Callithrix jacchus: one gene and its partners. The protein of the gene in region 3 binds, or shares a complex with, the protein of the main gene of each other region. Links are inferred from orthologs where the notes say so. Each region holds a gene or a part of one and is shown on either strand. Other genes may lie near its edges.

The links.
Region 1: MED23 (region 3) and MED13L share a complex: the UniProt entries of both Homo sapiens proteins name them as parts of the mediator complex. The link is inferred for Callithrix jacchus from reciprocal best matches to the Homo sapiens genes MED23 and MED13L.
Region 2: the proteins of MED23 (region 3) and mediator of RNA polymerase II transcription subunit 24 are in contact, whole or in part, in a cryo-EM structure (PDB 7EMF), measured with the Homo sapiens proteins. The link is inferred for Callithrix jacchus from reciprocal best matches to the Homo sapiens genes MED23 and MED24. Residues at the interface, in NP_004821.2 of Homo sapiens: Asn150, Thr151, Val152, Ser153, Ser154, Glu193, Gly194, Leu196, Pro197, Trp199, Leu201, Gly202, Asn203, Ser206, Asp207, Asp210, Arg213, Tyr258, Asp259, Lys260, Phe263, Ser1133, Arg1139, Ser1176, Glu1180, Glu1182, Trp1183, Val1184, Tyr1186, Arg1189; in NP_055630.2 of Homo sapiens: Lys238, Thr239, Leu280, Leu283, Lys287, Val291, Glu295, Cys336, Glu339, Phe340, Lys343, Leu344, Thr345, Pro346, Leu347, Asp349, Lys350, Gln353, Lys384, Glu720, Lys721, Trp723, Thr756, Arg757, Lys758, Glu759, His760, Met802, Asp803, Pro804.

Annotation. Positions count from the first base shown.
Region 1 is NC_133510.1:119,043,762-119,047,651, reverse strand, and holds part of MED13L (mediator of RNA polymerase II transcription subunit 13-like), read left to right. Parts: coding exon 1-443; intron 444-1,261; coding exon 1,262-1,487; intron 1,488-2,492; coding exon 2,493-2,598; intron 2,599-2,902; coding exon 2,903-3,027; intron 3,028-3,890. UniProt on the Homo sapiens protein: Component of the Mediator complex, a coactivator involved in the regulated transcription of nearly all RNA polymerase II-dependent genes.
Region 2 is NC_133506.1:72,287,815-72,291,704, forward strand, and holds part of mediator of RNA polymerase II transcription subunit 24, read left to right. Parts: intron 1-831; coding exon 832-879; intron 880-2,556; coding exon 2,557-2,639; intron 2,640-2,931; coding exon 2,932-3,018; intron 3,019-3,890. UniProt on the Homo sapiens protein: Component of the Mediator complex, a coactivator involved in the regulated transcription of nearly all RNA polymerase II-dependent genes.
Region 3 is NC_133505.1:138,274,598-138,279,085, reverse strand, and holds the start of MED23 (mediator of RNA polymerase II transcription subunit 23), read left to right. Parts: upstream 1-1,612; 5' UTR 1,613-1,806; coding exon 1,807-1,845; intron 1,846-2,168; coding exon 2,169-2,200; intron 2,201-2,358; coding exon 2,359-2,446; intron 2,447-4,321; coding exon 4,322-4,446; intron 4,447-4,488. UniProt on the Homo sapiens protein: Required for transcriptional activation subsequent to the assembly of the pre-initiation complex. Component of the Mediator complex, a coactivator involved in the regulated transcription of nearly all RNA polymerase II-dependent genes.

The DNA of each region.
Region 1 (3,890 bases), on a different chromosome or scaffold from region 3:
AAGTATGATAAGCAAATGGCCGTGCCTTCCAGAAATACAAGCAAGCAAATGAATCTGAATCCTATGGATTCACCTAATTCCCCTATATCCCCTCTGCCGCCAACACTCAGCCCTCAGCCACGAGGCCAGGAAACAGAGAGTTTGGACCCACCATCAGTCCCTGTGAATCCAGCCCTCTATGGAAATGGGCTAGAACTCCAGCAGTTGTCTACTCTGGATGACAGAACTGTCCTCGTAGGCCAAAGACTGCCTCTCATGGCAGAGGTCAGCGAGACAGCCTTATATTGTGGGATTAGGCCCTCGAACCCAGAGTCATCAGATAAGTGGTGGCATAGTTATCGTCTCCCTCCCTGTGATGATACTGAGTTCAGGCCTCCAGAGCTCCAGGGTGAGAGATGTGATGCCAAAATGGAGGTAAACTCAGAGAGCACTGCATTGCAAAGGTAAGACAGCTCTCTGCACCACGTACCCATCCACTGGAAGGCTATGGGCTCCCTCCCCATCTCTCCCTGCTAAACATAAGGTTCAAAATTGAAGCCGACTTTTCTTTGTCCTTCTTGACTCTGCATATGGAAGATGTTTAATGGTCCAATGCTTTGTTCTACGTACAGCATAGCACACATGTCATTTAAACACACGGGCATATAAAGACCTCTTTGTGCCATGTTAGTAGACTCAGAATATATTAATATATTTTTGGCCTATTGTTTGTTAATTAAAGAATACAGCTTTATGAGGCCTTCTATATTGCTACCAGTGCCTTCTTTGTATGTTGACATTTTTGAGGAAGGCTTTGCCTGCACTCGAGTGTGTGTATCATGTATCTAGTATAATATTTACAGTGCTTTTGGTCCACTCATTCTAAACACTTTTCATAGATTAACTCATTTAATCTTTACCATATCATATTATTATGGTAATTTTATAACTGAGAAACTAGGGCCATGCAGTTAGTAAATGACACAGATGGAGTTTGAACCTAGGCGGTTTGTCTTGAGAACCTGTGCTCTTAAGTGAAATTCATGGACCCAGAGACGAAAACATATATTCTTGAAAAAGTATACTTACTAATTTTTATTTAATCACGAATATAAACTATAAAAGCAAATCACCATATAGGTGAATTTTTAGTTTTTTTTTTTTTTTTTTTTTACAAAAAGTTTAAGCTTTGTAAATGCTTTGTCATAATGCCTTTTTTTTTTTTTTAAAGAAACGCACTTAACCTTGTTTACCTTGTTTCAATTGTCATTTTGTCTTTTAGACTCTTAGCACAACCTAACAAACGGTTTAAAATCTGGCAAGACAAACAGCCGCAGATGCAGCCACTCCACTTCCTTGACCCATTGCCTCTATCACAACAACCTGGAGACAGTTTGGGAGAAGTGAATGACCCATACACCTTTGAAGATGGTGACATAAAATACATCTTTACAGCCAACAAGAAATGCAAACAAGGAACGGAGAAAGATTCCCTGAAAAAGAATAAGGTACCATTTAACAGAGAGAGAGTCCAGCACGTGTGGGTTTCTATCTATGTCAGTAAAACACGTGTGGGAAGACTTTGGAGGCAGAACATTTCAGATAGTCTTGCCTGATTGCTCTGTCCCCATATTCATGCTCTTGGTACTATTGTATTGAACAGCGTATTGTTCCTTTTTATGTCATGGCTCACCTTTTTTTAAAAGTCAGCCGAACATAAATGAAGCCTCATATTTTCCAGGCTATAGCTTGTACAGTGCATGTTTCCTCTCATATGCTAATTCTTGTTGGCCTATGCTCCCTGCTTATTTCTTTTAAAATATTATTCCAGAGTACCCAAAATGTAAAGGGAAAAATGTTGATCATAGTATGTATATACAGTTTATCAAGCGCTTATTATCCTCACTGTGCTGAGCGCTATACCTGTGTATTCTCTGGACTCATACCAGCTCTACCCATAGACTATCAGTATTAATTTTACTGGTTTCATTATTATAAAAATGAGTACTGGTTGTGTCTGCTGTCTTTAATTTCAAATTTTCAGACATTCTAAAATACTGGGCCATCAAAAGAGGTATTCTTGAGAATCAAGGAAGTAAGACAATTATAAGAGGCCAGTATACTTCAGGGGAATGATTTTTAGATTGTTTTATACTGATCTCCCTAGATCCAGAAGGCTTAATCTATACTTCATCATCTAAAATGTTGTTAAAGGCAGCTTTTAATATCATGGCATCATTTAATATCAAATGCCACCAGTACTCGTTAGGCATAAAAAACGGATTCACTCAGAATACCCCATAGGATTGAGGGGAAAGTGGGGAGCTCATGGTTCTGTTAAAATTCTGGAGAAAGGACCTATCTTTTATTTCCTTTGGTTGCATAGACCATGGTTTATCATACTTGTGCTCATAACAAGTTCCATTCTACCCTCTAATTCTTTGTGTTCTCCCTCATATTTCACACTTTGGGTTGGTGTTCATGTGTTTTGTTTGGCTGAATTTATTATACAGTCAGAGGATGGATTTGGTACCAAGGATGTCACTACACCAGGTCATTCCACGCCGGTGCCTGATGGGAAAAATGCCATGTCTATTTTCAGTTCTGCTACTAAAACAGGTGTGTACAATGATTATTTGCCTCACTTGGATTGTTGCTAAAATAAAATGCAAGGGAGATGCTTCTCAATATAAAATTTTATTCTTATTGTAATAAGAATTTCATCTCATCTTTAATATATTTTATAGTTTTTCAGTTCCTTTCAAAACTGATAAACATATTTGGAAATAATTGTTTCTAAATTTAACTAAAACCATAGGGAAAAACTCAGGCAGGTCATGTTCATTGAGATCCGTGTCCCCTCCCCACTCCTTTGCACTTGGTGGAGTTGTTTATTCTGTTTCTTTTGCTTCCTTTCCTACAGATGTCCGGCAGGATAATGCTGCTGGCAGAGCTGGCTCCAGTAGCCTTACGCAGGTAACAGATTTGGCACCTTCCCTGCATGACTTAGACAACATCTTTGATAATTCTGATGACGACGAACTTGGGGTGAGTTTGCCATAGCTACATGCACAGAAATTTCGCTATATGAAAGGATTTCATGTCGCTGTTGTAGTATTTCTTTATAGCTTGGTCTACTGAATTTGGGGGCTCTTATTTCAGGTTCTGAATGTTCTTTATAAATGTCTGTATACTGGAGTCTAGTCACACTGTATATTGAAAAAAAGTTTATATACTTGGAAAATATTGTAAAGATTATTATTGTAGTGTACCCCCCTCTAGAATTTTGTTCATTGAAGGATCTTTTTCATTAGTGTCTCCAGTTATAAGTACTAAAAGTCTTTTCACATTCATTTTAATAAATTCTTCTAAATACCATTGGAGTATTAGAAATATATTGTCCCTTAGATTTGATTTTTAAAGTAATGCCCACATAAATTTTTATTCATCTAATAAGTCAGAGGTTAGATATGAAAATATAATCTATACTTTTTAAGATCATGGCATAATGGTAGGGAAATAGAATTTATATACATAGAAGTTAAATAATACAAGGCATCATATGATTTAAATGACAGAGAGGAATAATTGTAATTATTTGGAGATCAGCTGAACAAAGAGTCAGGAAATATGTGTCCTCATCCTCCTGACCACCTCCATACCTTTGGGCAAACACAAGCGCCTGTTTCTTCTGGGAGACCTAGAGATAAGTAAGATAGGCTCTGTTTTTTTAAAAAAAGTTTATTAGTTAATTTTTCTTTTATTTATTCACTTACCTATCTCCTTATTCATCTATTTTACATACATTTGTTAATCATTTGATGGTTAATTGCTTTGTGGTGGTACTAAGGCTAATCACTGAGGTCAGAAATACGATTAAATTACTACCTTATACTTGAGACACTCACAGA
Region 2 (3,890 bases), on a different chromosome or scaffold from region 3:
TCTCAGGAAGAGCAGCGGCACCCTGGACCTCTGCCCTGTGTTTCTCCCTGCGGGCGCTGGGCCCAGCCTGCCAGGTATCCCAGTGCAAGTTCGCATTGATCATTTTCTCTGAAAGTGCCAAGGCTATATTTAGCCCATGTGGCAAACTCTGTTGTTTCCCGCCACAGAGGTGCTTGGTCCTCAGACAGATTGGTGTGGGGCAGTGAGGGGAGCCAGGGAAAGGGGCCCCAGTCCTCCTTGAAGCTGGGGATCTACTTTTGCTTATGGCATTTTTTTTCTGTTGAGTGAGCAGAGGTGCAGGGTCCCTGTGTCCTGTGCCTCGGCCTGGGGGCATAAGGGACCTAGGTACCTATTGGCTGTCATTTAGCTCTTTTTTTTTTTTTTTTGAGATGGAGTTTCGCTGTTGTTACCCAGACTGGAGTGCAATGGCACAATCTTGGCTCACCACAACCTCTGCCTTCTGGGTTTAAGCAATTCTCCTGCCTCAGCCTCCCGAGTAGCTGGGACTACAGGTGCGCACCACCATGCCCAGCTAATTTTTTTTTTTTTTGTATTTTTAGTAGAGACGGGGTTTCACCTTGTTGACCACAATGGTCTCGATCTCTTGACCTTGTGATCCACCCGCTTCAGCTTCCCAAAGTGCTGGGATTATAGGTGTGAGCCACAGCGCCCGGCCTTGGCTGTCATTTAGCTCTAAGTGTGCTCTCACTCTCAGGGCAGGACTGTTCCTGTCTCTCTCCTTGGAGGAGGGGGTTGCGGGGAGGTCTTCAGGGGTAGATGAAAGAGAAAAGAAACAGATCTTGCTGTTTTTCCCTCTGCCTCACCCCCTAGATTCCACAGGTTTTGGTGAAGTTGAAGAAATACTTTCACGGGGACAAGGTGAGTTGAGGAATTGAGATGGAGTCATGGGAGCAAAAACAAGGGCAAGGGAAGGGTCCTTCAGGCCCCAACCGGACAGTGTTCTCATGCCTGGAAGAGAGCTGGATGCGTGTGTGCATGTGTGCACCTCAGTGTGTGTGTGCTTTGCTGTGTATGTGCTTCAGTGTGTGTGCTTTAGTGTGTGTATGTGCTTCAGTGTGTGTTTCAGTGTGTGCACCTGCCTCACCATGAGTGTGCTTCAGTGTGTGTATGTTTTAGTGTGTGTGCTTCAGTTTGCGTGTGTGCTTCAGTGTGTTTCAGTGTGTGCATGCGCTTCCGTGTGTGCTTCAGTGTGTGTGCGCTTCAGTGTGTGCGCTTTAGAGTGTGTGCTTCAGTGTGTGTGTTTCAGTGTGTGTGCTTCAGTGTGTGTGCGCTTCAGTGTGTGTGCTTCAGTGTGTGTGTGTTTCAGTGTGTGTGCTTCAGTGTGTGCGCTTTAGAGTGTGTGTGCTTCAGTGTGTGTGCACTTCAGTGTGTTCGCTTCAGTGTATGTGCTTCAGTGTGTGCACTTCAGTGTGTTCGCTTCAGTGTATGTGCTTCAGTGTGTGTGTGTGCTTCAGTGTGTGTGCACTTCAGTGTGTGTTCGCTTCAGTGTATGTATGCTTCAGTGTGTGTGTGCTTCAGTGTGTATGTGCGCTTCAGTGTGTGTGCGCTTCAGTGTGTGTGTGTGCTTCAGTGTGTATGTGTGCTTGTGTGTGCGCTTCAGTGTGTGTGTGCTTCAGTGTGTATGTGCGCTTGTGTGTGTGCGCTTCAGTGTGTGTGCTTCAGTGTGTGTGTGTGCTTCAGTGTGTATGTGCGCTTCAGTGTGTGTGTGCTTCAGTGTGCGTGTGCTTCAGTGTGCGTGTGCTTCAGTGTGTGTGTGCTTCAGTGTGTGTGTGTGCTTCAGTGTGCATGTGCTTCAGTGTGCGTGTACTTCAGTGTGTGTGCTTCAGTGTGTGTGTGCTTCAGTGTGCGTGTACTTCAGTGTGTGTGTGCTTCAGTGTGTATGTGTGCTTCAGTGTGCATGTGCTTCAGTGTGCGTGTACTTCAGTGTGTGTGCTTCAGTGTGCGTGTGCTTCAGTGTGTGTGTGCTTCAGTGTGTGTGTACTTCAGTGTGTGTGTGTGCTTCAGTGTGTGTGTGTGCTTCAGTGTGTGTGCGTGCTTCAGTGTGTGTGTGCTTCAGTGTGTGTGTGCGCTTCAGTGTGTATGTGTGCTTCAGTGTGTGTGTGTTCAGTGTGTGTGCGCTTCAGTATGTGTATGTGCTTCAGTGTGTGCGCCTGCTTCAGCATGAGTATGCTTCAGTGTGCGTGTGCTTCAGTTTGTGTGTGTTTCAGCATGTGCACCTGTGTCAGAGTGTGTGTGTGTTCGCTTCAGCATGTGCGTGCACCCACAGCATATACCCAGGCTCCAGGCAGAAGGCAGCTAGGCAGCTCAGGCTGATGCCTCCAGCAGTCAAGCTTGCCTGAGATGATAAGGGCCGGGTGGCGCTGTGGGGAGCAGTGATGCCGCGTACTTCTTCCCAGCCAGTCGCTGGGAACCAGCGGTGGGCAGGGCCTGCTTACAGGCTGTGTATCCAGCAGCGTGTCCTTGTGAGCCTGCCCTGCAGGTTGAGGGAGGAGCAGAGGACCTGGAAACCAGGTAGACACTTCTGTCTCTTTTTAGGACTTCACTGAGGATGTCAACTGTGCTTTTGAGTTCCTGCTGAAGCTCACACCCTTGTTGGACAAAGCTGACCAGCGCTGCAAGTATGAGCTCCCCTGCTCACCCCTGCCCTACTGGAAGGTGTTCTGGGCTCTTCCCTGATCTGTGCCTGAAAAGCTTCAGGGGACTCTGTCCCCTTGTTCACTCCCCTTGGGAGGGGCAGAAAGCAGAAGCCCATAGTTGTCAAGTCCGCAGAGCCCCTCTACTGTCCCTCAGGCACTCCAGATTTTCCTCATCCTGAAAGAGGGAGGAGGATGCTCAGGGACCTGCTGCTCCCTCTGCCCCCCAACATCCCAGCCAGATGCACAGTTCCCTCAGCATCTTTCTCCCTCGCAGCTGTGACTGTACAAACTTCCTGCTCCAAGAATGTGGCAAGCAGGGGCTTCTGTCTGAGGCCAGCGTGAACAACCTTATGACTAAGCGGTAAGTGTGAGCGCACCTGGGCTACCCCAAGAGCCCCTTGATCTCTTTCTTGTTACGATGGGCCTGCTGGGTGCCTTTCAATCTTCTGTCTAAAGTGTGGGCTGCAAGTGACTGGGATCATGCCTCAGTGTACAGGGAACAGGAAGGAAAAGAAGGCACCAGTGTCTTCAGACCAGAGTTTTACACTCTTAGTCACTGCTCTTTAACTCATACCCATCTTTGTGATAAAAGTAAAAATCCTAGGCCGGAGGCGGGTGGATTACTTGGAGGCTAGGAGTTCAAGACCAGCCTGGCCAACATGGCAAAACCCCATCTCTACTAAAAATACAAAAATCAGCTGGGCATGTGGTATGCACCTGTAATCCCAGCTACTTGGGAGGCTGAGGCATGAGCATTGCTTAAACCCAGGAGGTGGAGATTGCAGTGAGCTGAGATTGCACCATTGCACTCCAGCCTCGGCAACAGAGTGAGACCTTGTCTCAAAAAAAAAAAAAAAAAAAAAAAATTCTGAATCTTCTTTTAATCTTAAATCTGCTTTCAGAGCATTTAAGATGAATCATAGGCTGGGTGGGGTGGCTCATGCCTTAATCCCAGCACTTTGGGAGGCTGAGGCAGGTGGATCACAAGATCAGGTGAAACCCCGTCTCTACCAAAAATAGAAAAATTAGCAAGGTTTGGTGATGCGGCCTGTAATCTCAGCTACTCAGGAAGTTGAGGTAGGAGAATCACTTGAACCCAGGAGGCAGAGGTTGCAGTGAACTGAGGTCTTACCACTGCATTCCAGCCTGGGCAGTAGAGCGAGACTCCGTCTCAAAAAAAAGAAAAAGACTAATGATAAATTGCCAGGTGCAGTGGCTTATGCCTGTAATCCC
Region 3 (4,488 bases):
TGGGGTCTCCCTATGTTGACCAGGCTGGTCTTGAATGCCTGGCTTCAAGGGATTCTCCCACCTTGGCCTCCCAAAGTGCTAGGATTACAGGGGTGAGCCACTGCATCTGGTCAGTTGGTACATATTCTATAAATAAAGACATTTTCCTACATAACCACAATATTACCAACAAAATCAGGGGATTAACATTAATATATATCTACCATCAAATCTTCAGATCCCATTCAGACCCCCCCCCTTTTTTTTTGAGATGGGGTCTTACTCTGTCTCCCATGCTAGAGTGTGGTGCAGTCTCAGCTCAGCTCACTGCAACCTCTGCCTCCTGGGTTCAAGGAATTTTCATGCCTCAGCCTCCCAAGTAGCTGGGGCTACAGGTGTGTGCCACCATGCCCACTAATTTTTATATTTTTAGTAGAGACGGGGTTTCACTATGTTGGCCTGGCTGGTCTCAAACTCCTGAGCTCAGGTGATCTGCCTTCCTTGGCCACCTGGCGTGTGTGTGTGTGTGTGTGTGTGTGTGTGTGGTGTGTGTGTGTGTGTGTGTAAAAGGATTATGTTCAAAAACATGTTTTGCATTTACTTGCCATGGAACAGTTCCTTCCTCATTCTGGAGGAATTTCTTAGTCAGTACTTGACTTTTTTGACTTACACTTTTGAATGTTACAGACCAGTTGTTTTGTAGAACATCCCTTAGGTTTTATCTTTCCTCGTGATTAGATTCAGGTTACGCAACTGTGACAGAAAAATGGAAGTTATGTTGTAGTCTTCTCATCACATCCTAACAGGCTGGCGCGTGGTTTCAATGTCTCCTATTACTGATGGTATTCATTTTGCTCACTTGATTAAAATGATAGCTGCTGGGCTTCTTGGTCACAAAGTTACTTTTTGTCCTTTTTAGTTAATAAGTATTCTCTGTGGAGTTACATTGAAGCTATGTGACTATATAATTTCTCATCCAAAGTTTAATTTATTCATCTATTTCTTCACAGCTTTGTGGACTCATGGTTTTCTATTTTATTTAATGGGTTGTAATACATTATTTGTTATTTTGATAATCATATTGTCTCTGATATGGCCAGTGGGAATGCCTTCAAGCTTCTCATCATTCTTTAAGAAATTTTGGTCAAGGCATGGTAGCTTATGCCTGTAATCCTAGCACTTTGGGAGGCTGAGGCAGGCAGATTGCTTGAGTCCAGGAGTTCAAGACCAGCCTGCGCAACAAGGCAAAAACTCATCTCTACAAAAACTACAAAGCGTTGGGCATGGTAGCCCACGCTTGTGGTTCCAGTTACTTGGGAGGCTAGGGTGAGCTCGCAGACATTAGCTTGGTGACCGCTGCCGCTCCAGCGTTTTCCGCAGGCTGCAGCCTCTGGGTTCCAAGCTTTTTATTTCCCAGTCTGTACGCAGGTTAGCCTTGAGCAGGAAGCAACTCCTTCTCCAGCCGGGAGGTGGCGGCCTACGGTTGACGACGCCTCCGTGGAACCTGGGCTTGAGGTTCCGTTTGGGGGCGTTCTCGTCCGGCTTGCGGACCGCCCTTCTCCAGAGCCGGAACCATCTGGCGGCACCTCTGGTTTCAGCGGGGGTTGTAAACAGCGCGCACCGGGCTTTCCTCGTCTTCCGTACAGGTTCCTGCTGTTGGCTGAGCTCCGGAGAGAACGCTCTTGGTAAAGCGCTGCGGGAGGGAAGCGACGCCGGGGAGCTACGGTTTCCTCCGGAGGCCTCCGCCCCTCTGCCTCTTTCTTCCCAGAGCTCGTATCTGACCTGGGCCTTTCCCGGTACCCCGGAAAGGCGGGGGTGATAGTACAGATGGAGACGCAACTGCAGAGCATTTTCGAGGAGGTGGTGGTGAGTTCAGCTGCCGGGCATCCAGGACTATGGCTCAGGGACTAGGAGACGCGGGGGCAGCCGACCAAGGAAACTGGCCTAGGCAACCTCCTCTCACGCCTGTCTTTGTATCCCCTTGTTTTGACACCGACGTTGTATGCGGGGGGGGTTAGTGATTCTCAAACTGCTGTCAAGTTCTTTTTATCCTTTGAAATTGATACGACAGGCCAGACAGGTATTGGTAGTTTCAGAGCTAATTAAGATGACTTGCCCTGGGTTACATTGTAAATACTTCGCTAAGGGAGGCCCCTTTTTAACATTGTTTATATTTTTGTTTTTTACAGAAAACGGAAATTATAGAAGAGGCTTTTCCTGGGTGAGTGTACGCATGGCAGATTTTTGTGTTTTTACATGATTGTATCTGTCAGATTTCACTTAGTTTCGTGTTGGAGGGTTGTAAGAGCCACTAATCTCATTGTGTGTAATTACCTTTTTAAAACGAATGACAGCTAATGTAATTTTTTTTTTTTTTAGCATGTTTATGGATACCCCTGAAGATGAGAAAACAAAACTAATTAGCTGTCTGGGGGCCTTCAGACAGTTTTGGGGTGGTCTTTCTCAGGTGAGCACTTCATGTTTAATACATTCAGCTGATGATTTTTGGGCGCTTCCCCCCCTTTTTTTTTTTAACATTAACATTGATGTTGCTCTTATGATCTTCCTGAGAAGGGAGAAATAAAATTGTCATCATTTTTTTATTCTGGTTTCCATCTATTTTAATTTGTATATTTCAGTGGAAAACTTATGTTAAGAAGTCAAGTTTATATTGCACAGTGTGAGATGTTAAAAAAAAGAAAAAAAAGTAACCCCCCCCATGTTAGCTTATTTAAGACCATTTTCATCCTATTTGGATTTATTTGGTACACTTGAAAACAGATGTGTTAAGCTTTACTTGTAAAAGATACAAATTACAGGTTTTTTTTTTTAACTAAATAAAGGAATTGGCACAGCATTGATGCAAAGATGCTATAATAGAAATACCGAGATTCTATTATAAGGATAGGAAGATACTATAGTAAAAATGAGGAAACAAACTGTAAGAGTAACAAACTGTAAAAGTAACAAAGAACAGCTACCAGAAAATGTATCCGTGAAAAAGACAAAATATGTCATCCTTGAGCACATTACCTTCTCATGGTACGCTGTAAGTAGGGAGATGAGAACTGTTTGCATGTCAACCACTGGTGATAGATTTGCCACTCAGACATGGGCATATAATCTCAATAGTCATTTTTATAGAATGATCATATATATATACTATAGAATGATCATATATATATTTCTCCTAATAATCTAAAGGTAATTTTCTATAAGTCCAAGAATTACTTGTTCCTTCCTTTCCTACTTTTTTAAAAATAGCATCATAATATTTCATTGTATGGCTGTACCTTCCTCCATTTGACCAATCCTCTACTGACTTTTAAGTTTCTTCTTACTTTTTCTAATTTAACCAATGCTGCGATGAATAATATTATGCATGAGAAATAGGACAAAGTTCTAGAAATAGTATTGCTGAATCAAAGGCCGTATCTGTTTGTAGTTTTTATAGAAATAATTATTAAATTTTCCATAAGGGTTATACTAGTTTATACTTCCATCTGTAGTGGTTGAGCCTATCTTTTGCTTATAACCTCACAATAGAGCGTTAAGCTTTTTAATCTTTGCCAGTAAAAAACATGAGAAATTTTATTTCAGAATAGTTTTATTTTGCATTTCTCTCAGTGATGTTGAACATCTTTGCAACATTTTTTTTAAAGAGTCATTAAACACTTTATGAATTATGGTGTGGCCCTCTAATGGAGAAACCAGGAAGAAAATAGGTATTTCTTAATTGTTGTTATATGTGCAACAATAGAAGTATGTATGAGAACAGTGATTGTGCAGAACATTATAGGTTCTTCTTGGAGATATGCTAGAAGACCAGCTTTGAGATGGGCACAACATTTGGGCATCATATTTAAAGTTTTGCAAGTCTAGAAATGTGACATGTTGTTATATTCGTAGTGGGCTCTTGTTTGGGCTCTTAGGGATTAGATTCGCTTAAGGCTGATACGTACTGATCCATAATGAATTTTACCCCCAGTGATAGTAATATTTATATATGCCATAAAGGGCATTGTTTACAATGCCTTGCAACTATCTGTGTTGAGTTTTCTATTGATCATTAATATGTTCATTAGTAGTTAATTACTACTTTTGAAGGTCCCATGTAATAAAAATGGTGGCATTTTACCTATATAATTGCAAAATTTTAAGCTTAATGTGACAAATACTAAATCTGATTTTTTTATTTTGCTTTTTAAAAAATTATTTTTATCCACAGATGTTCATAGTGAAATATTTCATTCATAGTATTGGTATACTTTCAATTGTATCAGCTATTTGTTATAAAAATATAACTTTAGACCCCAAATAAAATCATTCTCTAATTTTCCAGGAGTCTCATGAACAATGTATCCAGTGGATTGTTAAATTTATTCATGGTCAGCATAGTCCTAAAAGAATTTCTTTCCTTTATGACTGCTTAGCAATGGCAGTTGAGACTGGTCTCCTTCCACCCAGGTATGTTTAATGGGTGTGAGCAATCTGAAGCATTTTCTTTTC